Arabidopsis thaliana: one gene and its partners. The protein of the gene in region 1 interacts with the protein of each later gene in a pairwise test. Each region holds a gene or a part of one and is shown in the gene's direction. Other genes may lie near its edges. The genes, in order: PPD1, TFL2, SAP and NF-YC2.

Region 1 (7,970 bases):
ACACGGCCTTTCATTTTGTCCAATTTTGAAAGGAGGCATTGTTAAATTACCAAAGAAGCATGTCTAAATGCTGTAATTGCTGCTACCTCTACTAGCTTATGTGTCTACAGATGCCTCGTGCCCCTTTTTTTGAAATTGTGATTTGATTTTTTCAGAGAAGATGGTGGAGCTTCCCCAATATGGACTTGAAAAGGCACCTGCTTCTCGTGATTCTGGTACAAACAGTACTCATTTTACCTTAAAGATATGAAATCCTATTATTCAATGATGCTTTAAAACACCTGAGAGCGAAATTTGGTCCACCTCTTCACCTCTACATGCTACGCTAAACTACTTGCTTGTTCTGCATGATATACGACCATGAAATTCTGTTAATTTAACTATTGTTCTTTTTGTTGGTCTTTTCTGAAGATGTTGAGGGTCAGGCGAACAGAAAAGTATCGTTGCAAAGATATCTTGAAAAGCGGAAAGACAGGTAGTTGTTGCTATTATGCTGTGTGCTTGCTTATTCCAAATCGATGAATACTGATACCTTTCTTTCTGAGCAGAAGATTTTCTAAGACCAAGAAGGCTCCAGGAGTTGCGTCCTCTAGCTTGGAGATGTTTCTGAATCGTCAGCCACGGATGAACGCTGCATATTCACAAAACCTTAGTGGCACAGGGCATTGCGAGTCACCTGAAAATCAAACAAAAAGTCCCAATATCTCAGTTGATCTAAACAGTGATCTAAACAGCGAAGGTATGAACAAGCATTTGTCAAATGGTTCCAATGATCTCCCTTAAAACTCTCATTCGCTTTTTTATAGATAATTAACAAGGTGCCAAAAGAACTGGAGATGGTACTACGGGTCAAAAGGCGGGAAGAACAATTTCATGTTCTTATAACATGTTAGCCATGTACAAAAAGAAAGAAAGCAAACAATGAATGTTCTCGTTCATTGTGGAAGAAACATGGGTTAAAGATTTGAGCTGGATCAGTGCGGGTCTTGTATGGTTTTGTTTTTTTTACGGGTTGCGTCCATCTTTTTTGGTCTGTAGTTTTGAGTAGGTTAGAGAGACGCGAGAGAGAGAGAGAGGATGTGGCGGTTTGTATTATGTAAATGCTTGTCTTATAATGAGAGAGACCTTATTGATGATACCAATCTTTGAGGTCCAAGTAACACAACTTCTTTGTGATTGATATGTATGAGATAATTAATTTGTCTATTTTCATGGCATGATGTATGTGATATGTCTGAGATTTGCAACATTCTTCTATAAAGTTGAGAAATAAGGGTAGTTTAGTCTTTTTAACCAAAGATTTTTATTTATTTGATCTTTTCCCTGTTTTAAAAAGAAGAATCGAGTAATCGGGTGGTTTTGAAGACGAAGAAGGACTAAGACATCACGAGGAACACGATGGGTGAAGCGGTCAAGGTATGTTTTTATCTTTGTCTCCTCTGCTTCTGATCTGTTAATGCCAATCGATAATTCCTAGTTTTGCGATGCAAGCATGAATCGTCGATTGTTATCTGAGTGATTTGATTCATTTTCGACGATTTTCGAATCATCATAACTACTTCTTTTGCTCAAATCTCGCAGTCAGTTTAATGCCTATTCGTATTCAATTTAGTTATGCAATTGACGATTTCTCGAATTGTCTGAAGTTTTGAAGCTAAAATCAGATTAAATATAAAATATCTGAACATTGCCTCCCAAGGAATCTAATCCCATCTTGATGTGCTTTTGCTTAGGATGGGAGAGAAGAAGTGATTCAAGCTTGGTATATGGATGATAGTGAAGAGGATCAGAGACTTCCTCACCACAAGGATCCTAAAGAGTTTGTATCGTTGGACAAACTTGCAGGTCCCCCTCTTTGTGTGTTTCAATTCAATGTTGTTCTCTCTGCTTCTCTATTTTGTTTCACATGTAATGTTTGTGTGCAGAGCTGGGAGTACTTAGCTGGAGACTTGATGCTGATAACTATGAAACCGATGAGGATTTGAAAAAGATCCGTGAATCTCGTGGTTACTCTTACATGGTTTGTGGTCTTTATTTATTTACTATCCCACTAGACTTGAATGGTAGATGTTTATTTTTGTCCAAGTCTTATTTTAACTCTCTAGGGGTTTTCTCAATCTTGGTTTGATGATTAAAAAGTGTTCAAAATGCAGGACTTTTGTGAGGTATGCCCGGAAAAGCTTCCAAACTATGAAGTGAAAGTGAAGAGCTTTTTCGAAGAACATTTACACACTGATGAGGAGATCCGTTACTGCGTTGCAGGAACTGGTAAGAACTTCTTTTACTGGCGGCTTTACTCGTAAACTTAAAATTTCGATATAGTAGTCATGTTTTATTTTCTTGGGAAAAAGGTTACTTTGATGTGAGAGATCGTAATGAAGCTTGGATTAGGGTATTGGTAAAGAAGGGAGGTATGATAGTCTTACCTGCTGGGATCTATCATCGCTTCACTGTGGACTCTGACAACTATATCAAGGTGCAATGTCAGCTTTTCTTCTAGCCATTTATTTTATAGTTTGGGCTTGCTTAGAAAATTGAAATATCTTGTTGAACAGGCAATGCGGCTATTCGTGGGTGAACCGGTATGGACACCATACAATCGCCCACACGACCATCTTCCTGCAAGGTACAATGTCCTGGGTTTTCCCCTTTTGTTTGTTCTCTTATGCAAACAATGGGATATATAATCAAGCAAGAAATTCTGTTATTTTACGAGAAATAAATTCTGATATTTTACAGGAAAGAATATGTCGATAACTTCATGATCAATGCCTCGGCTTAGAGAGCTTCCTCTCTCTATATCTGGCTTTCTGAAACAAGGATCTATAAACAAGGCCTACAATAAAGAAAGCTTTCCTGTCAAGTATTGGATATTTATATGTATTCCTGTGTAGAATGATGGCTTTTGGTATGCTTGAGTTGTTGTAAACTTAGTTACACTCTCTGATATGTCTCTCTTTACCATCTTTGTCGTATCCCATATACGAAAAGATTACATTGGGATTCATATTGTCTTACGTTCGTTCCTATGTGCAATATGTTGAGTTTTTACACAAATCTCTATTCTTTTTTATTTGCTTTTCAAAAACCAACAAATTAGAAGAAACTAATAAGAAGTAATACGTCCAACCGCGTCAACTTCTTTGGTTTAATCTAAACCATGGTTCGTTTGGTTGTTGTTGTGTATCTTAACATGCTGACGGTTTTAAGGATGGTTCGTTTGGTGGTTGTTGTTATCGAACATGTTCACGGTTCTAAGGAAGAAAAGTGTGGTTTTGTGTATTTGTGGTTGGACATAAGATTTTCGTTTTCGTTTACATTTGTGGCTTTCTTTTGTAATTTCCTTTTAGAGTTTGGAATCTCCTTAAATCCGACCTACATTAACTCTATAGTCTATAGAATTGGAGTAATCATTTTATTCTCCTATCTTAATGGATTACAATAAACAGTAGTTGAATGGAAGAAAAAGGGGATATAAAAGTAAACTTAGCAAGTTTAGCAGCCATGATTAGGCTTATAATAATTTATGTAGACGTGGAGCTTACGTGGCAGTCTAGGGAGTTTCCCTGCTCCGGGAACAATTCCCCCAAATTGACTCCCCCATAGGAAAAACTATTCGACCTCACTCTCTCTCGCCACTGTTCCGCTCTCTCTCATTCTTCCTAATTTTACCCCCAAAACCTCCGATTATTACTGAAACGCCACTGCTCTCTCGCCGGGATTCCGGTGAAGAGGAGGAGATGGATGTCGGAGTTTCACCGGCGAAGTCTATACTTGCGAAACCTCTGAAGCTACTCACTGAAGAGGACATTTCTCAGCTCACTCGCGAAGACTGCCGCAAATTCCTCAAAGACAAAGGTTTCTTCTTCTTCTACCTTTCTCCATAGTCTTGTTTCCTTCTCCGATTTGCAGCGGAAGTCAAATTTTGAAATTCTCTACTCTGTCGGAGCTTTTTTTTGCTTGTTTATTCTGAGAATGGAGGCTGACACATGTCGAAATAGGAATGCGAAGACCGTCGTGGAACAAATCTCAGGCGATCCAGCAAGTTTTATCTCTTAAAGCTCTCTATGAGCCTGGAGACGATTCCGGCGCCGGTATCTTCCGCAAGATCCTCGTTTCTCAGCCAGTAAATCCGCCTCGCGTGAGATATTTACTTCGATTTTGCTTCTATTTCTCGTTTAAACTCACAGATTGAAAAAAGTGAAAATCTAAGTTGCCTTGTTTGTTCTGATATCTACAGGTCACAACAACGTTGATTGAGCCAAGCAACGAGCTGGAAGCTTGTGGCCGGGTTTCTTATCCGGAAGATAACGGCGCGTGCCATAGAATGGATTCTCCAAGATCAGCTGAGTTTTCCGGTGGGTCTGGTCACTTTGTATCCGAGAAAGATGGCCACAAGACGACTATTTCTCCCAGGTTTACATTTTCGTATTTGAATTTTTTTTGATACCTTTCTGCTTCTATGCATCTGGAACTGGAATGTTGTTTAATTCAAGAAAAGTGTAATGCATTGCATTATTAAGTTTGTGATATTAGGAAGTTTTTGGTTCAATATCACATCCTTAGAGACAGAATCTATATATGGTTCAAGGCATTGATGGTGGATTTGTCAGATAGTATTTAGGTTGGCCACGATCGTGTGATCGAAGATCATCTTCGTTATGTCTTAGTATCCTGGATCTCTTTAGAAATGGAAAATAATAGTCAATATGACTGATGTGACTTGAAATAATAATTAGTTACTTGAATTCCTTAATGATATTTTGTAAGTTAGAGGGTTTTTTCCCTAGTCCATCTACGAAAGCTTAAGAAAAGGTTTTGCTGCATGTGCCTGTTGTTCTACAAGCATATTAAACATTCTTGTCTGTAATCTTGCATCAGAAGCCCAGCTGAAACAAGTGAGCTCGTTGGGCAAATGACGATATTCTATAGTGGAAAAGTGAATGTGTATGATGGAATACCACCTGAAAAGGTAAATCAATAACATTATTCTGTCCAGTCTGAAAATAGAAATTTTGTTGGCATGTTTTTGATCATTCATCCTTTGTATTGGTTTGCAGGCCCGGTCAATCATGCACTTTGCAGCCAATCCAATTGATTTGCCTGAAAACGGTATTTTTGCTTCCAGTAGAATGATTTCAAAGCTCATAAGTAAAGGTAAGCTTTTGCTAAAGTGTCTGATCTGTTTTTCAGTTGATAGATAGATGATTCAAACATGAAATGATTTTGTTTTGTGTATCATCAAACTGGAAAAAGTTCATGGACCAGCTTTTCTGACGCAGTAGAGCTTTTTTATTTATTTTCTCTTCTTGCAAACACTGCTTTTGTTTTGTCCAACTTTGAAAGGAGGCATGGGTAGTTGACCAAGGAAGTATGTCTAAATGTTGCATTGTGCTATACTACCTTGCGTAAAATATCCAAATGCCTCTTGCATGTTTTTGTGATAGTGATTCCACTTTCCTTCTTCAGAGTCTAGTTTGAATTAGTCAAAAATCAAATTGAAAATGTGAAATCTTATTGCAGAGAAGATGATGGAACTTCCCCAAAAAGGCCTTGAGAAGGCGAATTCTTCTCGTGATTCTGGTATGAACAGTATTCATATTACCTTAATGATTCTCGGAGCGAAACTTGATCAACACATCTTCACCTGTGCAAAGCTATGCTAATGTTGTTAACTTGGAGGAAACTTGGCTTGCTTGTTGTTCTGCATGTTATATGACCTGTGAAGTTTATTAATCTAACCGTCGTTCTATGTTTTTTGGGTCGTTCTTAAGGTATGGAGGGCCAGGCGAACAGAAAGGTATCTTTGCAAAGATATCGTGAAAAGCGGAAAGACAGGTGCATTTATATACTTACGCTTATTCCAAAATCGCTATAAACTGATATGTTTTCGTAATGTGCAGAAAATTCTCAAAGGCCAAAAAGTGTCCAGGAGTTGCGTCCTCTAGCTTGGAGATGTTTCTGAATTGTCAGCCACGGATGAAAGCTGCATATTCGCAAAACCTAGGCTGCACCGGATCTCCACTGCATAGCCAGTCACCTGAAAGCCAGACAAAAAGTCCCAATCTTTCAGTTGATCTAAACAGTGAAGGTAAGAAGAGAATCATATATAAAGCTTTGTTAAATCAGTGGTTTGGATGATTTCCCTCATAACTCTCCTCGCTTGGTCTCCAGGCATTTAACAAGATACCGAAACGTGGAGATGCTATAAGCTGTGAATAGGCGTTGAAACAGTTGCTTGCTTGTAAGCTCAAAGATATGAAGAAAAGAAACCTCTCTTCGGATCGGCCTTCTTTTGTGTTTCCGGGGTTTTGCACCCATAATTTTTGGTCTATAGTTTTGAGTAGAGCTTAGTAGGTTAGTGGTAATTTCTTGTTTCTGATTCTTTTTGTGAGGATATAGTCACAGAGAGTAGAGACAAGAGAGGTGAAAGAAGGGCTTTCATTTTCTAGGTGTTGTAATGTGTAAATGATGTCTTACTTGACACTTTTAACGAGAGAGACCTTTTAGCCAAAGTGTTTCTTACTCTCGACTCGAGTCTTACTTTGACACCACCAAACTTCTCTTCTTTTGTCCATTTTTAACCCAGTTTTTAACTTTTAACTTTGTTAACTTTTTTACAATAATTACCACTCTAACTAACGTATTTACATTTTCTCAAACCTCAAAAATGTGATAAATAGTCTGAAACGGATATATGTGGAGGCGGCATTTCCCTCGCCGCACGCCGGCGGATGGAGGGTAGTTTAGTCTTTTAACCTTTTTCTCTGTTTTTGTCCCAAAAGATAAAACGAAAATGACTTCTTTTGAAAAGGAGAGAAGGCATATATCGCGTGGATTTGAAGACGAAGAGGAATCATAAAAAGCCTAACGAAGAAGACGAAGAAGAAGAGGAACAAACAACCATGGGTGAAGTGGTTAAGGTAATCGTAAATCTCTTGCTTCTGATTCTGATTTCGTGAAAGCTCATCGGAAAATTTCTTGTTTCAGCTATGAAAACATGAATCGCCGCCGATTGTTAATTAAGTGGTCTTCAATCACTGATCACTATTCCAATTTTGATTTTTGTTTTATTTTAATCATCAAATTTGATGTTTTCTAGTTTCACTTGTTGTGTATGAAATTCAGGCTTTGTCTTGGAGGTTGCAATCGAAAATTTCACTAATTGCTGAACGTTTTTTGTTTCTCTTTCAAGCTTAGCATCATAAATTTATGTTTTCTTGTTGTGTTTGTGTATGTGTGTTTTTGCTTAGGATGGAAGAGAAGAAGTGATCCAGGCATGGTATATGGATGATAGCGAAGAGGATCAGAGACTTCCTCACCACAAGGATCCTAAGGAGTTTCTATCTTTGGACAAACTTGCAGGTCTCTTTGTGTGTTTCAATTCAGTGTTCTTCTCTCTGTTTCTCTATTTGTTTCAGATGTAATGTTTGTGTGCAGAGCTGGGAGTACTTAGCTGGAGACTTGATGCTGATAACTATGAAACCGATGAGGATTTGAAAAAGATCCGCGAATCTCGTGGTTACTCTTACATGGTTTGTTTATATAGACTTGAATGCTAGATGTTTACTTTTGAACAAGTCTTGTTTTAACTCTCTAGGGTTTTACTCAATTGTAACACTTACTCTACTGAATGTATTTAGGAAAATTCGTTGATGATTTGCAAATTGTTTTATGTGCTTGAGTCTTGGTTTGATGATGGAAAAGTGTTCAAAATGCAGGACTTTTGTGAGGTATGCCCGGAAAAGCTTCCAAACTATGAAGTGAAAGTGAAGAGCTTTTTCGAAGAACATTTGCACACTGATGAAGAGATCCGTTACTGCGTTGCAGGAAGCGGTAAGTACTTTTATTGGCTGCTTTACTTGATTTAAGTCGGTATCTATATTCTCAACGTTTCATTTTCTTGGGAAAAGGTTACTTTGATGTGAGGGATCGCAATGAAGCTTGGATTAGAGTATGGGTAAAGAAGG
Region 2 (7,272 bases), on another chromosome or scaffold:
CAGATGAAAAACGCCATCATAGGCATTCTTTCGACCCTAGCCTTGGTCTTGGACATTGCGGCCACGTGGTGGTGCGTAAGCGTGATGGGGATGGGGATCCATGGTGCGCTTCTAGGGCTTAATATAAGCTCATGGTCGGTGGCCATAGCCGAGTTTGTATATGTGTTTGGAGGGTGGTGCCCGCATACTTGGACCGGCTTTAGCACTGCTGCTTTTCTTGATCTTATTCCCATGCTCAAGTTATCCATATCCTCCGGCTTCATGCTTTGGTAACTTGCTTTTATTTGTTAATTTTTTTCGCGGGATTAAAACATGATTATTAAGCGTGGACCACTACTAATAGGCTAATACAAATTTCTAATGACTCTTCTTTTGCTTCTCTTGTTTATTTATTGCCTCAAACAGCTTAGAGTACTGGTATATGAGCATCATTGTCTTGATGTCTGGATATGCAAAGGATGCGAATATCGCAATTTCCGCTTTCTCCATATGGTATTACTTAAATCCGAAGAAGTTTTTTTTTCCATATACATATGAAAACTAAATACTTAATTCAAAATTTGCAGCCAATATATCTACTCATGGGAGATGAACATATGCTTTGGCTTGATGGGTGCAGCATGGTTTGTAACTATATACGTACTCTCATTCACAGTATTTTGTTTTTGATGTATACATATATTATTTGTTTAATACTAAAGTGAATGTTTCTCTATCTATGAATCCGAAAATGTAGTGTACGAGTGGCGAATGAATTGGGAAAAGGCGATGCGGATGCGGTGAGATTCTCGATAAAAGTGGTGCTTGTGGTATCAGCGGTGATCGGTGTGATATGTTCCGCTCTTTGCCTAGCGTTTGGCGGTCAGATTTCGTATTTGTTCTCTGATAGCCAAGCAGTTTCGGATGCAGTAGCTGATCTCTCCATCGTCCTTAGCATATCTATACTCTTCAACATCATCCAGCCCATTCTATCTGGTTACAAAATAAAACCCTTATATTAGACATAAATAAATTATAACATAAACTTTTAGATTTCACTAATTTGTAACCACTAAATTTGTTTGAACATATATAAACAGGGGTAGCAATTGGAGCAGGGATGCAGAGTATGGTAGCATTAGTGAACTTAGCATCTTATTATGCAATTGGTGTTCCTTTAGGTGTCCTCCTTGTTTACGTTTTCAATTTTGGGATTAAGGTACATCATATATATGAAAACTGGTATCCAGTACTTCATTATGATCAATCATTAGAACTTTTAGAATTTTAACTTGAATAAATGATATTGTATGCAGGGACTCTGGTCCGGAATGTTGGCTGGAGTTGGTATCCAAACGTTGATATTGTGTTATGTTATTTACAAAACTGACTGGGAATTGGAGGTAATTTACTTTTAATATATAACTCAAAATTTTTATTAGAAAATTCGTCATATTAAATGTATAATTTTATCTAATTACAGGTTAAGAAGACAAACGAGCGTATGAAAACGTGGACTCTAAATTTACCTGCTGTACAATCGACTACTATCTCCACAAGAGATGAAGAGAGAAAGTGAACATACAACTAAGTTAATTTAAAGAAATCTTTTAAGAAATTCTTTATAAAAAAAGAAAGAATAATTTATGTTGTATTGTGGTTGTGTTTTGCATTCCCTAAGAATGAAGTATCGGTGTTGAGATTGCATTATTAGGTTAATGCAACTCTCATAACTTTGAAAAAGGTTAAGAAGGATGAACTTTTTCTTTTATCAGAGAAAAAGGTTGTTCTCTTGTTCTTCGGATATACTCTTTCTAAACAAAAAAAAAATTGTGGGAGGTTTGAAATTTTAACTTCTTTCTTGATTTTTTAATGGATGTATATTTTGTGTGTGGGGAAAAAAATTCCATTTGTTTGAGTGCTTGTAATCGTGAATTTTTACAAAAAAAATATTCTCATATATATTTCGAGGAAACGTTACAAACTTTCATAAGCTCACCATCAAATAAAATACTCATTTATTTATGTTGAAGTCAAAACGTTCCATTTTTCCCCCTATTTATGAACCGATCCTAATGAATGTTTTTTTTCTTCCTTTTTACTTCTTTCATATCACCATTTTAAATAATAATAGTAATTATTATTTTTCTAACGTTTAAACAAAAAAAGAACTGCAAATTTTATAGTAACAATTCAAATTTAACAAAGCGATCAAAACATGCATCATTTAGTGTACAAGTACTAATCACAAAGAAACAAGTTTTGGTTGGACAAAGTATAGAACAAACACACTAAACTGAAGAAAATAGAACTTTAGCCCACCAAAAGTTGAGGCTAAAACTCGAGCAGTAATCACATAGTTACTATCAAGATAACTATACTTTGGAATGAAAGAATCTGAATCTCGATGAAGTTTATCTTGGAGAAGGACTTTCTTTTCTGTTGGTTTGGATGAGATATTGCTGAAAATTATTGATGATGATGTTAGGAGATCCAACTAAGTTGTCTGCCTTTGCAGTGCACTTGGAGACTTGGAGTGAGAATCTTAGTTTATGAGACTTATTTTCTGATTTTTCAATCTCCTTTGATTTTTTTTTAAGTTGTAATAATGTCCTAGTTGATTTCCTTGTAAAAGGAGCAAGAGCACGATGTTCTTTTATTTCTAATTTAAAGAAAATGTTTTCAGTTTAATATATTTTTCGATTTAATTTACCTTCACATATTTTCTTCAGTAGTATTTATTATTTTCATATTAGTAATTAGAAATAATCTCTTCTAATTAGATTATAAACGTTAAGAATTTGCTGTATTCAACTTTTCCTATTGTGATATTAAAAAAAAAAAAAAAAAAGAGAATCCAAAAAAGTGAAAAAACTGGTCTTTGAGGTCAGGTCAGGTCTTCTTCCTGCAAAAACAAAAACCTCAGAAATAGAGAAAAAGTTTCAATCTTTCTTCATCTTCTTCCTCCAAAATCCTTGATTTCTAAAAAGGAGAAGAAGAGAAGAGAACGCGATTACCTTGATTCACCCTCCTCCTTCAGGTTTGGGAGGCTCGAATACTCAGGAAATGAAAGGGGCAAGTGGTGCTGTTAAGAAGAAACCCCAGGTGTTGAACGAAGCTGGTGAGGCGGAGACGGCGGTGGAAACAGTCGGAGAAAGCCGGAAAATTAGTGGAGACGGTGGGTTTGGCAGTGACGACGGCGGAGGGGGAGGTGGAGGTGGAAGTGGAGAGTCGATTCTTCGCGAGATTGGTGATGATAGGCCTACGGAGGATGGAGATGAAGAAGAAGAAGAGGACGAGGATGAAGATGATGGAGGTGATGAGGAAGATGAAGAAGGAGAAGGAGAAGGTGGGCAAGAGGAAAGGCCAAAGCTTGATGAAGGGTTTTATGAAATTGAAGCTATTCGTCGTAAGAGAGTTCGAAAAGTAAGCTCCTTTTTTCGTCTTCACTCAGCAAATGTGGTTTGTTTTTGTTAACCATAATTAGTTGAGGTTTTAGGTTTTCTAGGTTTAAGATAAGTATCAAACGTAGGTTACACATTGGTGTGAGAAAGTGGCTGCTTTAGTAGTTAGTAATCATCGTAACAGAGTAGTTTATAACGAACCAAAGTTTTGATTCTGTGGTTGTTATATGTTGTAGGAAGAAAATGATCTTTAATGTTTGATATCTTCTTGGATTTGATTGATTGAATGATTCTGATTCTGCATTTTGGTACTGTTTTTTTTTTTGTATTTGTAGGGCAAGGTTCAGTATCTAATTAAATGGTGAGTTTTTCTAATCTTACTTGGTTTCATTTTTAAGTTTGTTGTTCTTGATTAAACATATGTTTTTCCATTGACATAAGTTATAAACTCGGTTGTGAAAGGCGCGGATGGCCTGAAACTGCCAACACATGGGAGCCTTTAGAGAATCTCCAGTCTATTGCTGATGTTATAGATGCCTTTGAGGGAAGGTAAGTAAATGGAATCTTATATAAAAGTTTTGTGATACTTTTGAATTGATTGTTTCATGGATTTTCTTGGTTTAATGTATGGATTTGCTTTCTTGTTTCATATGTTTCAAAGTTTGAAGCCAGGAAAGCCTGGTAGGAAACGGAAGCGCAAATATGCAGGTCCTCATTCTCAGATGAAGAAGAAGCAACGTTTAACATCTACATCACATGATGCTACTGAGAAATCTGACTCTTCTACGTCTCTCAACAACTCTAGCCTTCCTGACATTCCTGATCCACTAGACCTAAGCGGTTCGAGTCTATTAAATAGAGATGTGGAAGCGAAGAATGCTTATGTATCCAACCAAGTTGAAGCCAACAGTGGGAGTGTTGGGATGGCCCGACAAGTTCGTTTGATTGACAATGAGAAAGAATATGATCCAACACTTAACGAGCTACGAGGACCAGTCAACAATAGTAACGGTGCAGGATGTTCTCAAGGAGGAGGCATTGGTTCTGAAGGTGATAATGTAAGACCCAATGGCCTTCTCAAGGTTTATCCTAAGGAGCTTGATAAGAACAGTCGTTTCATAGGTGCTAAGCGGAGGAAGTCTGGTTCTGTGAAAAGATTCAAACAAGATGGATCCACAAGTAACAACCACACAGCACCTACAGATCAGAATCTGACACCAGATTTGACTACATTAGACTCTTTTGGTAGGATTGCAAGGATGGGGAATGAATATCCTGGTGTGATGGAAAATTGTAATTTGTCTCAGAAAACCAAGATTGAGGAGTTGGACATCACGAAGATACTTAAACCAATGAGTTTTACAGCATCTGTATCAGACAATGTCCAGGAAGTGTTGGTGACCTTTTTAGCGCTGAGGTTTGTCTCTTTAGCTCTTTGGTCATTTCTCGTAATTTGATTTCATATTTGTACAATTGTACTTATTTGGTTACTCTCATAGGTCTGATGGGAAGGAAGCATTGGTGGACAACAGATTTCTCAAGGCTCACAATCCTCATCTCGTAAGATTATCTTTATAGCTTTTTTTTTCTGCACTTACTCATTTGGAAGTTTCTTATTAGCTTTTCTAATTTGTTTTTCCCACACCAGCTGATTGAATTCTATGAGCAACATCTCAAGTACAATCGAACGCCTTAAATCATCCGGAATGGTAAGAATTTGTTTGTACACAGCCCTTGTAGGTAGAAAAGATTAGATGGCTTCTTTATTCTAGCAGTGCAACATGTAGAGTCGAGGTAGCGACAATTGGATTTTGTATCGCGTCTCCGGGAGGTTTCAGATTGTAATTTATCTCCTCGGGTTCGTTGTGTTCACTCTCTATCTCTATCATAGTAAATCTTGTTACTTGGACCTTTGCTTCTTATAGCGGAAGTTTTCTTGTACTTGCTTCTTCAAAGATCAAGTTCATGATATGTTGATGTTATCAAAATATATGTGATCAATCAATATATAATAATTATGTTTACAAGCAAACCAAGTAATTTTTTTTACTTTCGTATGACATTTCGCTGATGTAATTTGGAATGACGCTCTCGAGCCAAAGGAACTGGAAGAAACTTGATCCTCTTGGGATTTAGTTGTTCCTTATGCAAGAACTCAGTTTCATATGCTCTTCTTTTCAAAATTCTTGCGTCATCAAATGCCTTTGGAAGATCCAAATCAGAACTCTGAATTTTGTCAGAGTCATTAGAGAACTCTTGCATCATGTCTTTGAGTGATATAAGGTGTACCGCACATTTTTTAACCTCTCCAAGCGGGCTAAAGGAATCTCCTTCTGTGTTTTCGACTGAGAATTCAAACAGGGCTTCGCTGTAAGCTTCCATGGACGTGCAGGTTCTGCTGAATAAGAGAAGGTGATCTGATCCAAAATACATGTTTGTGAAAGCTTTTGGATCAGGATACCACACCTCATCCATAACAACCAGCTCACAAGCATCAGCATCTTTTAATATACAAGAGCAGTGTATCTTCAGATTGTTCATCGGGTACTGTCCATCAACTCCAATCATGATGCAGGCAGAAAATCCCAGAATGTCAGACGATGATTCACTCTGAGGTAACTGTATATTCAGCGAAGGACCCATGACTTGGTGATTGAAGCAAGTGGGTATGTCACTTCCAGGAAAATAAGAGTGTTCTGGTTTTGCTGACTCTAGCTTCAAGTTACGGTGAATGAGAATCTGCGCTGCTTGATCCAATTTGTAACAGTTGCTAGCTACAAGCTTTCGCAGACAATATTGGTTGAAGCAACCTGAGATACTCACTAGTGATGTGCAGCTATGGATGTAGATATACAAGAGACCTCGTGGAAGCTCATCGGGCAATGCTTGAAGTCTCTGGCAATTGTTTAAATTCAGTCTGTTCAACCTGGTGAGCCGTTTGATGCTTGCGGGGATGAATTCAAAATTGTTCCCACTCAAATCTAGTTCTAGTAGATTCCATAAGTTACCAATACTGTTAGGAATCTCTGTCATGTTCATGTTGCTTAGGCTCAGAGCTCTCAAGTCATCAAACCTTGATAAGGGAGGACAAAGAGAATGCAACAAACCTTCTGGAGTAAAGAAACTATTCCCAATCGCTAAAACTTGAAGACGGGTAAGTCGTGCAATAGACCATGGTGCTCGCCTTATCACTGTTCTACTGGCTTGAAGCACCTCAAGAGCTACTAAATTCCCAATGTTTTCAGGTAGTTCTTTAATGCTAGTCCTATCTAAATCAAACCACCTCAAGCAGCTCATTGTCTGACAAATTTCTAGTGGAAAACTCTCGAGTACAGAACATCCAGAAAGCTTGAGCTTTTCAAGTGATCTTAGCTCAGAAATGCTTACCGGAAGTGATGCAAGTCTTTTGTTTTCTGAGATATCCAAGGACCTAAGCTGAGAGAGATTACAGATCCTTGCAGGAATTTCTTCAATTGATGTCTCAGATATACGCAGAACTTCTATACTCGTGGAAACACGAGGGAACTCGTTGACATTAAGGCAACCAGACACTTCAAGCGTTTCAAGAGATGTTAGATTCTGTAACGTGTCTGGGAGGTTCTCAAGACGTCTGCAACCGTCCAAATTCAGGGATTTCAGTGAGACCAAGTGCCCTAGATAGCTTGGAAGAGTCCTGAGTCTCTGACAATCTGACATATCCAATTTAACCAGACAAGAGAGACGGCTGATTGATGATGGAAGTTCCTCTATCTTTGTACTGCTCAGATAGAGTCTTCTAGTATTCCAAGAAATTTCTGGAAAATGCTTTAGGCTTGAGCATCCACTCATTCCCACTGTTTCAAGCGACTTCAAAATTATTCCAATCGGAATGTCCTTGAGTTGGATGCAA
Region 3 (9,894 bases), on another chromosome or scaffold:
AATATAGGTTTTAGAGTCCTTTTAGAGTCTTTTAAGGTATTCTTTGGATTGGGACAAGAATGGAGTTAAGGAGACAATTTGGAGCAAATGCTAAAGAAACTAAGCCAAATGACGAATTTAGTTTCAGATCAAGTCGAGAGTGTCGATCGACACACTCTTGGTGTCGATCGACACCAGTTGCGCCCTAATAATGTAACCTACACGTTTTTAGGTTATATATATATATATATATATATATATATATAGTTTTAAGGTCATTGTTGTGACCTAACAAGTTTTTAGCCACCTAACTTGTTCTAAAGCATTTTATAAGCTATTTATACATTGGATTCATTTTTCTGAGTTTTATCAGAGATTTCAATAATACCGAAGAGATATTTTCTAACTCTTTCTTCTTATTGATTTTGTTTATGCTTTCTCATTCATAAATGTTGTTTGTTTCATCCATCATGTATGAGTAGTCTACTTGTTAGGGTTAGGGTTTCTCATTAGGGATTTAGATGATTTAGTAGATTGTTCACCTGCTAGGATATATGTAGGATTTTTCATCTTTGGTTATTCTTAATGCTAGTTCTAGAGTAACTAATTAGAACTTAATCTTAAATAATAGGTATGCCCAAAAAGGTATATGTTACCAGAAATACTATTTGATGAGCCAAGTTTATAGATGTGAAATAAGAATCGGCCTATCTATTTAGGTGAACTTATCAAACTCGTTTATCATGCATGTCTTAATATAGGGATTTGCCAAGCGACCGCTGGGAATCTTTAGCCCTAGGCATATTGAGTAGCACGGCGAACCACCGCTTATTCTGTAATTAGGGTTTGAGTTTAAGAACGATTCGATAACATCCTAGCTATTTCTATATCTCTTATCATCTATTTCCTGAGAATACCCTAAACCTAACGTTTTTATTATCTTGTCTTACAACTTCACAATCCACTATCTACTTACTTGCTTTCTTTTTATTTTCTTATCATCTATCTAGCTTGATTTTGATACTTTAGCCTATTGTGTGAACAAAAGAGTTTTGTGGAATTTTACCCTTAAGTACTAACGACGATCTCTTATTTGAGGGAGTAAACTTAGAGCAATTTGACCTACATCAAATTCCATTGTTGTACGTGTACGGTTTCCACCCCATCTAAGCAACGATATTTCATCCTTATTGACTACGTTCCTATATCGCTCTCCAAAGCATTTGACTGAATCATATGCCCAAGCCTGTAACATGAAAACCATACCACTGATGGTGTACGACTTTCCAATAGGCCTCAACATCTTTATAGCATTAACCAACGAGACACCAAATCTCCTTCAAAAGTATTATTAACTGTCTACTTAATAGAAAATGTACAGTCTTACGAGACCACACGAATTGACTATTCGATAACTTAGTAATTATTCCAATAGGTGCCTCCTTCATTTGATCCCACACATCTTATCATACTAATTCTCTAAATCCCATAGAAATATGTCATCTTGATATTGTGATTAATGAGTTTATTCTCTAGATTAGACTCTCCTTCTGCGTAAATTCTTAGAGGGTAATCCTTTGCTTGTTCTTCAGAAATAACCTTAGCCATCTAATAAACCATAAATCAGCCATAACCATACATTAACTCAGCCACAACATAAAACAAATTTAGCCACAGATGCATTGATAAATCATAACTCAGTCAAACATACAATAACTCATCCACAACATAAAACAAACCTAGCCACATATGCATTGATAAATCATAAATCAGTCATAAAACATACAGTAACCAAGCCACAACACAAAACAAACTCAACCACATATGCATTAATAAATCATAAATCAGTCCTAAAGCATACAATAACTCAGCCATCAAATCGAATAGAAATAACAAATCAGCCACCATATGTAAATCGACGGCAAAAATCAGCCGTAATAAGCGTCGATAAAAACCATCAATATCATAACAGTGGTTTTAGAAAATGGTTTTAATCATGGGAATCACTTGCTATTGAACTTAGATGTCTGATTATTGTCGGAAAAATCGAAATAAAGATTTGACACATATCGAAACAAGTTGAGTTGAGACGAAATGTGACTCGATGACAACGACGTTAAAAGTTTCGGGCGGAAGAGACGAGAGAAAGAGAGAATAGCCACGAGAAATAGGTTTTCTTCGTTTTCGGATAAACACCTAGTAAAAGAGAAGACATTTTTTTTTCCCAAGATGAACAATGTCTGGGAGGAAAACCAAAATGTTCCTCTTAGTGACGTTAATAATGTGGCTTTATTTTTTTTTCTCTCTTAATAACGTGATTCATCATTATTTCGTTAATTATTTTTAATTAAAAAAGAATAAAAATGTTTTAACTAAAAAATACTAATCAAAAATGTTAATTGTAATTATATAAAAGCACTATATATATGAATAATTTTCAGAAAATGTAAATATTTCTATATTTAGATTGAGGAATAAACTTAAAAGCATCGCATGCTCATGTGTTGGTTTGTGATGAGTTTGGACTAAAGTTCACGATGAACCGTGGTTTTGAGGATCGTGATAGCTGCAATATGAGAAAAAGTAGGGTTAAGTTTTGTGATGACAGAATATGGCGAATTCTAGGTTTGAGGATTGTAATGATAAGAATATGCTTAACCAGATTTCCAAAAATTATTTACTTATAATGACAATAGTATGTTGGGAAAAAAAAATATGTTAAACTATGCTTTAAAAGTTTTTACTACTGGTATGAAAGTCGAGATTTGGTGCTACGAGTTTGATCTCTCTGACAAATTTTTTGCGTATACATATTATTTTATTTCTCATTTTTAAAATGGATCGATCTACAAATATTTGTGTTTAGCCAATAGTTTACCATATACAAAAAATTTACTAATGTTCGCGGAAGGAAATAAACTTAGCAAATATATTGTTGAATTCTTAATGATATATAACACTATTTTAAATATAAAAAATCGTCAAAATATAAATCTAGTGATTTATAATAATATAGCTGTTATATTGCCATTATAATTCAAAATCTGCATATCAAAAGAAAGAAATTTTGAAATATGTCACCATACTGAACCAATACTTTTCCTAAAAAATATAAAATTGAAGCTATTTCACAAACAAATCTGCATCTATTAAGAATAAACAAAAACAAATAATAACAAATCTTGACAAAAGAAAATAAAAATAGGAAAAAAACATACCTTCACAACCTGGGTCCCCCACCTCGGAGAAGTATGTCTTTATCTACACTTTTTGTCCTTTGTTTCCTCTCTCCCCCACCATTCTTTCTCCTCTCTCCGCTTCTTCTTCTTCCCCTGTTCCTCTTATAACCCCTCTCGTCTCATGTCTACCTCCTCCTCTTCTTCCGACAACGGAGCCGGTGGAAGCGGCGGCGTTTTCGAGGCCCCATCTCCATCCCGCCCTCGCCGCGGAGCCAACGATGTTTGGCCGGAGCCTTTTCTTGAATCTCTCGCCGTTCAAGTTGCCGTTAACGCTTCCACATCCGCCGGCCTCCTCGCCGCAGCTCCGGCTCTTGCCAACGTTTTTCGGGTCAGTTCTAACGTTCTTTGAATACCTTCTTTTAGTTTTGTAACGGTCGAGACACATCAATTATCTCGTGTCTCTCTATATATATATGTACTTCAGGTAGTAAAGTAATATTTTCGTTACACTATCTGAATTCGTTTATTAGCTTATATTTGAACTTGAAAATAGTGAGACATAGATCTTATGCAGACAAAACAAAGTCAAAGTAGTCGTGGGTCTATAATAACTTAAGTGGAGGGACACAATCTTGGTCTAGTCAAATGTACTGCTTGTTTCAAGTGTCTTGTACTTTAGTTGTTTCTAAGCTTAGATTTGATTCTGCCGTTCTAATTCTTTTTGGTATAACGAATTCTTACTCTTTAGATCATAATTAAGTGATGATGTTACTTCAATTCGATTGAATGTGATATTAGTTTGTAAGGTTGGGATTCTGAAGAGACAAAAAAAAAAAAAAACTGACCTTTGGAAAGGTAACCGCCCTTTCTGTGTTTCTATGATGGGTCCAAGTCCAACTTTTATGTCTAACAAGACGACATTAATTTGATGTCTCTTTCACATATCATATAGTTTGGGGACTTTGTTTTTCTTTTATGTATTTAGAAACTTTTTGTCTTCCATTTTTACCCAATAAGTTTATTTCTTTTTCATTGTTCTCTCGTCTACTTTTGATACCTTTTAATGTCTATTTTTGGATCCTCTAAGGAGACCATACAACCCCATCTCGTTTGTGTAATCTTTGTACAACATTTGGGCATAGTAACTCTAATATTAATATTATATTATGAATTGGATCCCTTAGGGCACAAAATCAAGGTTTTATTTTATTTTATTGGCTTTAAATCTTCCTTTCTTGGCATGTAGAAAGCCCTTTTTTAAGATCAAGAAATCCACTTTTTGACTCAAAAGTTCTTACAATAATAATCAAATTAAACACTTTCTTGTCTCCAAATATTGGTTGATAGACATTAGGCACAGTCTTTAGTCCAATGCCCAATAGATTTAATATTTTTTAGAATTATAATTATAACGGTATTTATCTGCTAATTGTTTTAAAATTATAATAATAGAAAGTGACCTCTCACGACAGACTCATAAAACTAGAAAATGTCGTTGCACATTTAACAACATCTAAAAAGAGAATGAAAAGAAACCTAAGTAAGGTCCTGTCTTTTTGCCTTGCCAATGTTAGTCCTATATTACCACATTAGGTTATTTTCTACATACATGAAAACTCTATTCATCAACAGATATATGATCCATGTATTATATCAGGCATTCATATTATTCTTTTTAATAATCCTATGTTATATATGAAAATAGCTGTTTTTTCTTTTGTTCATAAAAAAACAAATAATACATATATATATTATGCTGAAGATTTTTCTCATATATAGTAACGAGGAATAGTATATAAGTACATATGTACATTTTTTGCGTCCTGCTTTTGTTATTTTTTTCTCTGCCAATATTATGATCCACTGAGTAATGCATGCAGAGCTTCTGACAACTTCTCATTCTCTTATTTTATCTCACTTCTCTATGTATACATGATAATTCTAAATCATTATTAAATCCCATAATATTTTCTAATTAATTGAATTTTCAAATTTGCCCTAAAATTTTAAGAAACTGCAGTGTAGTTACAGCATAACACTTTTGTCAGAGAATTAAGGCTATAAGTCTAGAGTTTTCATTGTTGTTTTTTACTTTGAAATTGATCATGGAATTATCTTTTTTCCTGACTCGATTCATCTTTTCCATTGAAGTGGGTTTTTATCTTTTTTTTTTCTTTCCTTAATTTTTTTCAGTCAAAAGAGACGACATTATGGGCATACATATGCCGAAAAGCACATGGAACCCAATGTTAAGGGTCTCTTAGAGCACGTGCAGTGGTGTCTATAGATTATATACTATGTTCTTACATTTGATATATCACACATTAAAATACAAAAGTGATATTCTGAATCTGGTCATCTTAGAACTCAGGAATATTTGAACTACTTTCTTTCCCTTCTTATTTGAAGTATATCATATTGATGTGATTGGTAATTTGCATAATAATAAATAGGATTTGCCATTCCATCATATGTTATTTGTTGTACTAATCTATTTTATGTTACATTTCGTGCCCTAGTGCCTAGATTATTCTTTTTTTATAATGATTATCTGACTAATAGACATTAAACCTTTGGTTTGACAAGATATCTTTTCTTTTCGTATAGAATTCGAAATATTTGATTTTAGGTTGTACTATAGAGCTAGAGTACGAAGTCAAATACATTACTTTGCGTTTAATGAGGAATAAAGATGTACAATAAATAACAATATAAACGTAAATGTAGAGAATGTAGGTCCACGGATTGTTGGAGAGGGATGAGAGAGACAGAGAAACATCTACTATATATAAGTGTAATATTTGTGTATTTATGGGAAGCTCTACTTTTAACAAGACCAAAGGCTTAAAAGCTATCCTTTCTTGGAAATGAAAGAGAGAAGGGCACGCTTGTTGGCAAAGTCGGAATCTCATGTTCAGCTTAACTCATTTAAAGTCTTCTCATCTGTCCTAATAAATTAACATATCATCTGTTTTGTATTATTGTCACATTGATTTGTTTTTTGTTCTTTTGACATGGGACTAGGGCTTCCTCTCATTATTCCTTTTACACTAGGGCTTCTGTTGTTATATCTCTATCTATAGCTTCCAGAGATTGATTAGTCCCGTCAATTGAACATATGTCATAAAATAGATTTTTATAAAAATGAGTTGTGTGTTTCGATGAGTAAGACAAATATTACGCAGAGCTTGTGTCTGAGTCTGTCGTTGTCTTTCCATCTTCCTAGTCCCTATATATAGAGTCTTTCATGCTTCGTTGCAGGCCTACTTATCTTCTTTCTATGTCTTTTTTTACTCTCTCCCTTATTTATACATTTATTAATTAAGCTACTAATTATAATATTTGTTAAAACTTATAATAATTTTTCTTAATCGCAGGTTTGCACCACGTGGCACGCTGTCTCTCGCTCCGACCATCTATGGCAACTACTATCTCGCCAAGTTTGGGCAAGAACACATTTGATGCACGACACGTGGCGGGACGAGTTCATCTACCGTCATCGGACGGCTAGAAACTTCCGGACGCGTACTCACACCTACTTCACTCTCCAATTTGACCCGTCTGATGTGGACGAGCCTGATAGTCTCTCTTGCCGTTGTCTCACCCTCTCAGACCTCTACTTAGCCGCAGGGTTCGCCGACGGAACCGTCCGGCTTTTTCTTTTAAACAACCGACTCCACGTCAGGACCTTACGGCCACCTCTACGTGACCGCTTTGGTAGATTCTCACGAGCCGTCTCAGGCATTGTTATCTCCGACTCAAGGCTCACGTTCGCTACGATGGACGGAGACATCCACGTGGCGGAAATAGACGGTGTTGGTCACACACGCACGGCTTACGCAGGAGATATAGTTAACGACGGTGCGTTGGTAGATTTCACTGGCTGTGGACGTTGGTGGGTCGGTCTTTTCGCGGGTGTGCCAGGTCGTGCCTTTCACATATGGGACTGTAACAGCGAAGAGACAACATTCGTCGGTGGTACACTCACCGACCCTGAAGCTGTCATGGGATGGCACACGTTAACAGAGCTAACAACGTCCCTTGGCCGTCTCAGAATCTCCGGTAACGAGACGGCGGTAGCATGCACGAGATGGAGAATCATGGTGATCGATCTAAGAAACCAAGGAGTGATCATCGGAGAAGACGAAGAGCAACGTAGAGGACTAATAGTGACAGGCTTCGATGCCAACGACGAAGCGTACGTTAGATTGGACAGTAGAGGAAACGCTAGCGTGCGAAGGGTGAACACGCAACAAACGGTGTGTGAGTTCCGTGTTAGTGGAGCGGCGCAGAGAAGAGTAATGGGTTGTGTTAATAGACTGCACGCGCTAATGTGCGCAGGTGGTATAATGCGCGTGTGGGAGGTAGAGAGAGGAGAGTATCTGTACAGTATTAGGGAGAGAGTAGGAGAAGTTGACGCCATTGTTGCCGATGATAGACATGTGGCGGTTGCGTCAGCTTCATCAACGGCTCAGAGTATTATACATCTATGGGATTTCGGTGCACTGTAGCGTACCAGATTAATAATTTTTTTTTTTTAACTTGAAGAAAAAGAAACTATTTTTCTCTGAAAAAGCGAAACCCTAAACCTAGGTGTATATGTAGGGTTTCTGATTATAAATTAAATTGGGAAAGTGACGGAGGGAAGATGGTGACAGGAGGGTGAGATTTACAAGGGAGATTGATTCTTTCTACAGAGTTTGACCAAAAAAGTAAGTTACTGTTTTTGTCTAAAACCAAACAAAGTGGACTTTTTCTTGTTGTTCTTGTTTTTTTCCTTGTGTTTAGGGCTCTCTCAATTCTGACTTTGTACGAGATGTCTTTTTTTTTTCTTCTACTTGTAATTCTTCACTTTACTGGAGTTTATTATTTTGTATAATGGGTTTTAAATACATTTTGTGTAAAAAATATATTTTACAGGAGGTGTAGACAGAAACAAGATCAAAATCGAAAGAATGGTATAGAAATATGAATCATGAGATCTAGATGTGATTTGAGCATATCCCAATTTTAGGATATATTGGAGTGAATTGATAAGTAAAATGTTCAACAAGTTATTCATAAACAATAACATAAGAAAAGAGCATAATTGGACACACCCAATATACAAACAAAACGGCTAATCTCATTGAACAAACAAGATGATAAAGAGTGAAAATCAAAATTTTCCAAGTTTGAAATAGCGTTAGAAGCAAGTTCGAGAAGACCAAACACACGCCAATTCAAGAAAAAGTTGCACTCTACATAAAATTTGAGATGGTAACCATATATTGTGACTTTAAATCATAGTTCAAAACTTGGATTCTCACAAGAATGAGTCACGTTGTACCTACCGGTCCCTAAAAAACCATCACATAAGAACACAAACAGTTAGGATCTAAAACATGTTATTTAGAAACGAATTCGTAAGGACAGTTCTCAAAGAGAGGGAAATATCAATTTGATATTTATGTATATGAAATTACAAGATGTTTGATATAATGCCACGTTTATTTTGTCTTTTAAACAGATTCATGTGTTTGAATTTTCACATCTATTATCTTAATTAAGTCCACAAGGCTTTGTATTGGAATTTGCAGGGACAAATCAACTTATGCAAATAATATGACTCTTGAGAGACCATTGATGCATGTTTCATTATTAGCGAATGTGCCAGTCTTTTAAGTTTCAGGTATGCGGATTTGATTGTATGATTTCTAGTGTTTTTCATGTTTTTTTTTTGTTATATATAATGTCTAATGGGCTATTTCTAGATAGAGCATATACAAAATCGCAAAAACCCAATCCACAAACTTCAATACAATAAACAAAGCAGCTCAAAACTAAAGCCATCTCAAATTTACAAACCGAATTTAACTAACCAAGATTGAAAACCCTAATCTCAATCAAAAAACATGATCGAGCCGCCGTCCAAAACTGCAGATTCTCGCTGAAATAGGACAGCCAAACGAGATGGTGATCCAAAATTTGTTGCCATGCCGCCACTGTAGAGTTGTTTTGAGAAGGAGGAAGAGAGCCGATCTCGTTTTTGTTGAAGAGATCCTTGCTCAGTCATGAAAGAGAGAAAATAGTAGGGAATAGAAAACAGAGACCTTCGACGTTGGCTTCGCTTTGCCGGATCAAATATACCTCCCCCATCGACAAAGATCTCGTGGAACCGCCACAATTTTCGGTCTCAGATCTATCTACTTGTCTCTCTCGTTCTTCGCCGTAGATCTCCCTTTTCTACTCTGCATCGCTACACCGCATGTGGAGCTCTTACCGTTGGTATCAGGCGGAAGCTTCTCCCCTCCACATCTCCTTGATTTTAGTCGGATTGCTTTGCCTGAAAAATGCAGCATGTTACAGATGACGAACTATGAGCTTTTGGGTCCTCATCTTATTTTTTTTTTTTCTCAAACAATAATTTTCATTCACTTAAGCCTAAAAAAAGGGAAGTTCATACAAATTAGAACTAAGATAGTACAAGAAAATGAAGATAGAGGCTTCATGAGTTTTGCAAAGAGGTGTTCACTTTTAAAAAAGTTTACAAGGTTTGAAAAATCTGTTGAGGCTTTGGCGGATTCGACCATGAAGACGGGCTTCGCGAAATCCTCGACCAACGTGTGGTCATAAACGGCTATTGCAAACAATGCATATGAGCCTTTGAAAAGGTGCTCCACGGGAGAAAATAAAGGGTAGATCATAACGCCGCTCTTTGCCAAGCTTTCACAGATTTGCAACTTATCCGTATACT
Region 4 (6,421 bases), on another chromosome or scaffold:
ATCAATTTAAGTGATGTTTTAAGGGTATTTTGTTCTTGATTCATTATAAGTGATGTTTTCAATTTGTTAATATCTTAATTTTTTTGGCTAATTATGTTTTACATCATGTTTTTGTTATTGTCTGAAAACTGAACTTAATGATGTTTTTATGTAAAAGAGATAAATTAAATGAATGTCTTGTGTTTTCTTAATTTATGCGTAAAAACCTTAAACATTAGATACAAAGTGATTAAGAAGTAAATAAAAGGAGTAAATAAGAGTAAACTTAGATGATGATGATGATGATGTGGGTTGAGTTTTATAAGAAATACGAAGACGAGTAAATAAGTTAATAGGCTAAAGAAAAGGATTATTGAATTCTCCTTCTGAACTAAATGTCAAATAATAAGTGTCAGGATTAATAAAAAATAAACTGATCTGAATTAATTAGGATTACAGTCTACAGATTTATTCTATTTATTTCTCCAATTGGTGTTACTTTTGTTTGTGGCATGGCCCTTGTGGTCTTTAACACACACGCACACAAACAACCGCTCTAAAGTTTACAATATACTAGATTTCTACTCGCTCATATCAAAATCTAAAGTCGAAAATCTTTTTGTATAAAATATTTAAAACTGAATAATCAAGAAATGTATCAAACTATTTAAATATTTCCGTGATGCTCAAATTAATATACATATTTTTCGTAACTCGTCAATGAATCATGCATAACTTGTTTACACAATTATACTTAATGGACACTATGATCTGTACACGGGCATATGAGTAACAAAAGAAATTTAAGAGATTACTAGTTAAAATCTGCCGTTAACTTCCGTACGTTCCATGCTTTTGGGTCTCTCTCTACGAGTGAAGTGCCTCAAATAAATAAGAGTTTTATTGAATGGAGTGGAAAATCTAATCTCTAACTAATAATTATAAAACATCTTCTGACGTAAAGAGCCGGGTTATATCAATGATATATATATAGGAGCTCCTGATAATAATCAAAAACATAACATTGCATATATAGAGAAAGATATAGTGAAGGTAGCTATAGAGAAGAAAGTAGTGTAATAAGAATGGGGAAAGGAAGAGCACCATGCTGCGACAAGAACAAAGTGAAGAGAGGGCCATGGAGCCCTCAAGAAGATCTCACTCTCATCACTTTTATTCAAAAACATGGCCATCAAAACTGGAGATCTCTTCCCAAGCTTGCTGGTTAGTATTTATTCACATGCATGTTTCGGTAATACTATAAAGTTTTAAATAACTAAGAGAAATAATGATTGATATATATACATAGGATTGTTGAGATGTGGGAAAAGTTGCCGACTAAGATGGATAAACTATCTGAGACCGGACGTGAAGCGAGGCAACTTTAGCAAAAAGGAGGAAGATGCTATCATTCACTACCATCAAACCCTTGGAAACAAGTTTGTACTCTACCTATTCATCTAATTTCTTTATAATAAGACAATATATAGTATGTAGAGACTAATTGATATATGTGATCATCAGGTGGTCAAAGATCGCGTCCTTCTTGCCGGGAAGAACTGACAACGAGATCAAAAACGTGTGGAACACGCATCTCAAGAAACGACTCACTCCATCTTCTTCTTCTTCATCCCTCTCTAGCACTCATGACCAAAGCACAAAAGCAGATCATGACAAGAACTGTGACGGGGCTCAAGAAGAAATACATTCAGGGTTAAATGAGAGCCAAAACTCAGCTACTTCGTCACATCACCAAGGCGAGTGTATGCACACAAAACCAGAGCTTCATGAGGTTAATGGACTCAACGAGATCCAGTTCCTGCTCGACCATGATGACTTTGATGATATAACCTCTGAGTTTCTTCAGGATAACGATATCTTATTTCCGCTAGACTCTCTTCTTCATAACCACCAAACTCACATTTCAACCCAAGAAATGACTCGAGAGGTAACCAAATCGCAATCATTTGATCATCCTCAACCGGATATCCCATGCGGATTTGAAGACACAAACGAAGAATCCGACTTGAGGAGACAGCTGGTTGAATCAACCACACCTAACAATGAGTACGACGAGTGGTTCAACTTCATTGACAACCAAACTTACTTTGATGATTTTAATTTCGTCGGAGAAGTATGTCTATGAATGTCAATAATATATGCATGACCAGTGTTGTATCCACTTTTGAATGTTGAGTAAATTACTATTTTACATGGATTGCCCATGCATTGAGAAGATGCTATGTTTTATGAGAGCTCTATGATATTGGTTCGTTTTTCGGCTAGATTCACACAAACAACTCTTCTCTTTTCCTTCTCGATCACTCTTATGGCTGCTCTCAGAGTCTCCGTTTTCAGAGGCCAAAACAGGTCGCAGGTTGATGGCTGGCAATGGCAGCATCGACTGCTTCCGGTGTGTCGAGATCAGGCGCCACACCAAGCATCAAGTCCTGAAATCGAATTAGGTGTGTGTAAGTTTCTTAGCCTAGATACAAACAACAAGAAATATGACTCCAACTGTACTCATCATTTCAATCACTTGATATTTGCTTCCTGTAAGGGCTTCAATGTCAAAAGCTTCTGAATTATCCTAAGTCCATACATATTTGAGAGACTGAGACGGTCTCAGTGAGACCAAACAGAAGAAGAAAAGAAAAGAAAAAAACAGAACAAATACTACAAAGAATACACAAACTTTTGATTCTTGCTCCAACCGTTTATTAAAGCACATGACCTGTTTGGGATCATCACATATCACACTAGAATCACAAAAACTACAAATTTCACAGCTCCGAGCACGCAATGATTAACAGAAATCCGACAACTACACCAATCTCTTACAGATTAAAACACAAAGAAGAGAGCTTGTGTAAGTTAAACACGTATGGTAAATACATTAGCAGTAAGAAGATACCTTGGCTTCTGAAAAGTGGAGCAATTGTGGACTTCACATAGAGGGATGGAGGAGACTGTTCTGCTCCTTACAGAACAAAACTAGCGACGACTCTGCACATAATTATCGGCATAATTAAACAAAGTCTGGCTCTTTCGAACCCCAAAGAAGAGTGGCGATAGCAAAGATGGATCCTTTGCCTCTGCAACTTCTTTCGATGGTTTCCTTTCCTCTGCTTCCCGTTTCCCTTTACTCTGTTGACAATTAGGGTCAAGTTTTGATCCGGCCCGGGTGATTTACAGCCCACAAGGTCCAATGGGCTTCTTCGAAAATAAGTTTGCGCGACGTTGCAAATGTCACGTGACTTTTGTTCACGCGCACTTCACGTGTTCTTCGTTATTCTTCGAAACCGTCCGATAAAGAAATTTCTGGAATAACACAACATAACCAATGAAAAGCATACAGGTGGAAGTAACGTAAAAACTCCCGCTTTTTCGACACGTGTCAACTAGGCGGAAGATACGCACCACCAGAAACGCTTGATAAAAAGCTAACCCGCCCCAAACCCATTTATCTTAGGGTTTCGCGAGATCTCACTCTCACTGGTATGTCTGTGTTTCTTCTTCCATTTTCTGTTTCTATTGGAAACTTCTCTCTCCAATTTCGTTTTCTTCACTTCTTTGATCCTTTAGCTTTGACAAAACCGTAGTAAAGGATCAAAAGTTATCATCTTTGGTCCATGTTGTGAATCGTGCTCTGCTTGGGTCGTGACTCCCAAATCCGGATTTGAAACCAGCATATCTGAGCTTAATTCGAGCATGCATGCGCTTCTTTTTTTCTGATTTTTTTTAGACTTTGGTTCTAAATCCCTTAACTTTGGATTAACTGTCAATCTACAATTTTATATTAACAGAGATAGCTTAGCAATGGAGCAGTCAGAAGAGGGTCAACAGCAACAGCAACAGGGAGTGATGGATTATGTACCTCCTCATGCTTATCAGAGTGGGCCAGTAAATGCAGCTTCCCATATGGCATTCCAACAAGCTCACCACTTCCACCACCACCATCAGCAGCAACAACAGCAGCAGCTTCAGATGTTCTGGGCTAACCAAATGCAAGAGATCGAGCATACCACTGATTTCAAGAACCACACCCTTCCCCTAGCCCGCATCAAGAAGATCATGAAAGCTGATGAAGATGTGAGGATGATCTCTGCGGAGGCTCCTGTGATTTTTGCCAAGGCCTGTGAGATGTTCATTTTGGAGCTCACTCTACGTGCTTGGATCCACACCGAGGAGAACAAGAGGAGGACCTTGCAGAAGAACGACATCGCCGCTGCCATTTCCAGGACCGACGTGTTTGATTTCCTTGTGGACATAATCCCGAGGGACGAGCTGAAAGAAGAAGGTTTAGGCGTGACCAAAGGGACCATACCATCGGTGGTGGGTTCCCCGCCATACTATTACTTGCAACAACAGGGGATGATGCAACACTGGCCCCAGGAGCAACACCCTGATGAGTCTTAAAACTTTTCCCCTTTCGTTTGTTTGGTTGTATCGTAGTAAGGTAGCTCTGCTCTGCTGGGAACCATTTCTATTGTGTTCTGTAATGACATGTTAGTATATCCCCAGTCTATATCTATGGCAATGCAGTTTCTGTTCTCATGTGCATTAAATAATAACAAGAATGATAGAAAGAAAATCACTACTAGTAATGCCCAAAACTTTACTTCACAGGAATTCAACTATACAGCTTTCATGTGATTGCTACTTTACAACCATTTTCTTTATGCTATTAAAAGCTTGGCTCCTATTCCTTTAAAGTTTAAACCTTGTCATCCTCCACATCTCCCTTAGTGGATAAAACCTTAACTTACTTGAACATGGATCCAAAGATACAAGTCCCTTCTCGCCATTCCAGTTGCAGTCAGGTGGTTTATATACCGAGATACCGAGAGCTTATCTGCTTCGGTCTCCATGCATTCCAAATGAGTTTTTTTTTTATGGGCTGTCCGTATTAGTAATAAATTACAGAAAATGCTGGTGCTTCAATCATTTGCTTGAAGACATGGCTTCCTCAATCCTTCTAATCACAATGCTAAGAGGACTTCCCACTTGGAGAGCTTCAACAGCGGCCCTATGTGCTGCCTTGTGCCACTTGAGTAGATTGTAAGATTGTAGAACAGACCACCTGGCTTGATTCGACATCTGTATGATCAAACGCACAGATTCGCAATGCTTAACAATCTGTACACTTGTGCAAGAAAAGTGGAAGCACATATTATACTAGTCAAATCAGATATATATGAATTTCATTAGTCCTGACCTGAGCTACGGATAACGGTGGTTCCAGAAGGACTGAGATGCTCCTGAACAGATTTTCATCATTCTCTCCACCCTCAGCCTCACCATAAACTAGCGCTTCAGCTGCAATACCAGCAAATAGTACCATGCTATACCTAAGAGAAACTGAACCAGCATTAGGTTTGTGAATGAGAGAAAACTCAGAGGGAGAGAACAACACCTTGACTAATAATCACCTATCAAATGAGCTACCGCTAAGTCGTCCCTCAGCAATCTCACTCTCCATCTTTTGATCCCAGAATTGGGTTCCAGCCTAGAGAAACACATGATAATCCATTTATGTACTCGGTTCCATATGTAGCTAAAAGAACATAGAATCACAGCACTACAAAATAGAATAGTATAACACTAGAGTGAATCTAAATAATACCTGGCCTTGAACCCCCATTTGCATGGCAACAACCGGATCCAATATCACACCACGGATTGGGCAGCCCATGAGGTATGCTGCACGACAAATAAGCTGCAATCGTTAGCCACAAAACGAGAAAGAAATTTCATAAAAATACTAATGATCACGAATGTCTTACCAACAAGAAGATGACCAGCTTCGTGAACTACGATTCTACGCTTATGTGGAGGCCAGTAGCATGATACTTGGGCTAAGCAGGTACCACCAAGAAAAACGGAATCCAAATAAGCTAGACCCAAAATGACAGCAAGGTTTGGCCGCACATCAATCTCCTGTGAAAGAAGATAGGAGACTCCACCCAGCAAAGCAGCCAGAGCAATGCTAGAACCACCAGAAAGTCCCCACTTCTTCGGTGAAAGTTTAGTCACTAACCAATATAAACAGTAAAATAAGTTTCCATCGCCACACACTGAGTAATCAAAGATGACTGAAGAGAGAAATTTGAGCTACACACCTTCCAAGCCAGTTGCAGACTTCAGGACAGTAGGTGTTACCTCTCTTGTTCCTTCCAAAACTGCATCACAGTGATACAGAAGCAAGAAACTTATGAAACGATACAAATTAATCAGTTCAAATGCTCGCACACATAGCTAAACATTACTTTTGTACATCTATCTAAACAGAAGTTGATTTTGAAGGCGCAAAGAAGAGAAAACAGAGTACCAATACTGGTGAATTTGCCGAAGTTGGCCAAAAGACCTCTCTCCTTAAGAAACCTAAACGCACTTCCAACAAGTCTCATATCATCTGCATTCAAACACGCATCTAAAACTT

What was found.
Region 2: the proteins of PPD1 (region 1) and TFL2 interact in binary tests that used the Arabidopsis thaliana proteins (3 or more experiments, as listed by UniProt).
Region 3: the proteins of PPD1 (region 1) and SAP come close enough for resonance energy transfer, tested with the Arabidopsis thaliana proteins (one study listed by BioGRID).
Region 4: the proteins of PPD1 (region 1) and NF-YC2 interact in binary tests that used the Arabidopsis thaliana proteins (3 or more experiments, as listed by UniProt).

What each region holds. Positions count from the first base shown.
Region 1 is NC_003075.7:8,425,296-8,433,265, reverse strand, and holds PPD1 (TIFY domain/Divergent CCT motif family protein), read left to right. Parts: upstream 1-3,545; 5' UTR 3,546-3,740; coding exon 3,741-3,858; intron 3,859-4,001; coding exon 4,002-4,141; intron 4,142-4,240; coding exon 4,241-4,416; intron 4,417-4,881; coding exon 4,882-4,972; intron 4,973-5,060; coding exon 5,061-5,157; coding exon of another isoform or gene 5,158-5,204; exon of another isoform or gene 5,205-5,523; coding exon 5,524-5,583; coding exon of another isoform or gene 5,584-5,666; exon of another isoform or gene 5,667-5,774; coding exon 5,775-5,838; coding exon of another isoform or gene 5,839-5,878; exon of another isoform or gene 5,879-5,903; coding exon 5,904-6,091; intron 6,092-6,174; coding exon 6,175-6,182; 3' UTR 6,183-6,589; downstream 6,590-7,970. Other genes in the region: AT4G14720 (TIFY domain/Divergent CCT motif family protein), read left to right, coding at 156-215, 412-475, 549-783; ARD1 (acireductone dioxygenase 1), read left to right, coding at 1,399-1,416, 1,734-1,845, 1,926-2,020, 2,154-2,268, 2,352-2,476, 2,556-2,626, 2,740-2,782; ATARD2 (RmlC-like cupins superfamily protein), read left to right, coding at 7,092-7,115, 7,254-7,365, 7,441-7,535, 7,722-7,836, 7,914-7,970. UniProt on the Arabidopsis thaliana protein: Regulates the arrest of dispersed meristematic cells during lamina development.
Region 2 is NC_003076.8:5,825,311-5,832,582, reverse strand, and holds TFL2 (uncharacterized protein), read left to right. Parts: upstream 1-2,822; 5' UTR 2,823-3,045; coding exon 3,046-3,405; intron 3,406-3,718; coding exon 3,719-3,744; intron 3,745-3,824; coding exon 3,825-3,932; intron 3,933-4,044; coding exon 4,045-4,800; intron 4,801-4,882; coding exon 4,883-4,943; coding exon of another isoform or gene 4,944-4,961; exon of another isoform or gene 4,962-5,031; coding exon 5,032-5,079; 3' UTR 5,080-5,412; downstream 5,413-7,272. Other genes in the region: AT5G17700 (MATE efflux family protein), read left to right, coding at 1-269, 406-492, 567-623, 737-975, 1,080-1,198, 1,296-1,382, 1,463-1,558; AT5G17680 (disease resistance protein (TIR-NBS-LRR class)), read right to left, coding at 5,430-7,272.
Region 3 is NC_003076.8:13,934,232-13,944,125, reverse strand, and holds SAP (Transducin/WD40 repeat-like superfamily protein), read left to right. Parts: upstream 1-3,258; 5' UTR 3,259-3,339; coding exon 3,340-3,546; intron 3,547-6,535; coding exon 6,536-7,669; 3' UTR 7,670-8,040; downstream 8,041-9,894. Other genes in the region: AT5G35760 (Beta-galactosidase related protein), read right to left, coding at 9,344-9,483, 9,625-9,894. UniProt on the Arabidopsis thaliana protein: Transcriptional regulator involved in the specification of floral identity. Acts as A class cadastral protein by repressing the C class floral homeotic gene AGAMOUS in the external flower organs in association with APETALA2 and other repressors.
Region 4 is NC_003070.9:21,021,320-21,027,740, forward strand, and holds NF-YC2 (nuclear factor Y, subunit C2), read left to right. Parts: upstream 1-3,162; 5' UTR 3,163-3,477; exon of another isoform or gene 3,478-3,785; 5' UTR 3,786-3,798; coding exon 3,799-4,398; 3' UTR 4,399-4,583; downstream 4,584-6,421. Other genes in the region: MYB72 (myb domain protein 72), read left to right, coding at 1,065-1,203, 1,289-1,418, 1,504-2,125; AT1G56180 (ATP-dependent zinc metalloprotease), read right to left, coding at 4,924-5,079, 5,198-5,330, 5,412-5,488, 5,606-5,682, 5,766-6,014, 6,102-6,161, 6,311-6,421. UniProt on the Arabidopsis thaliana protein: Stimulates the transcription of various genes by recognizing and binding to a CCAAT motif in promoters.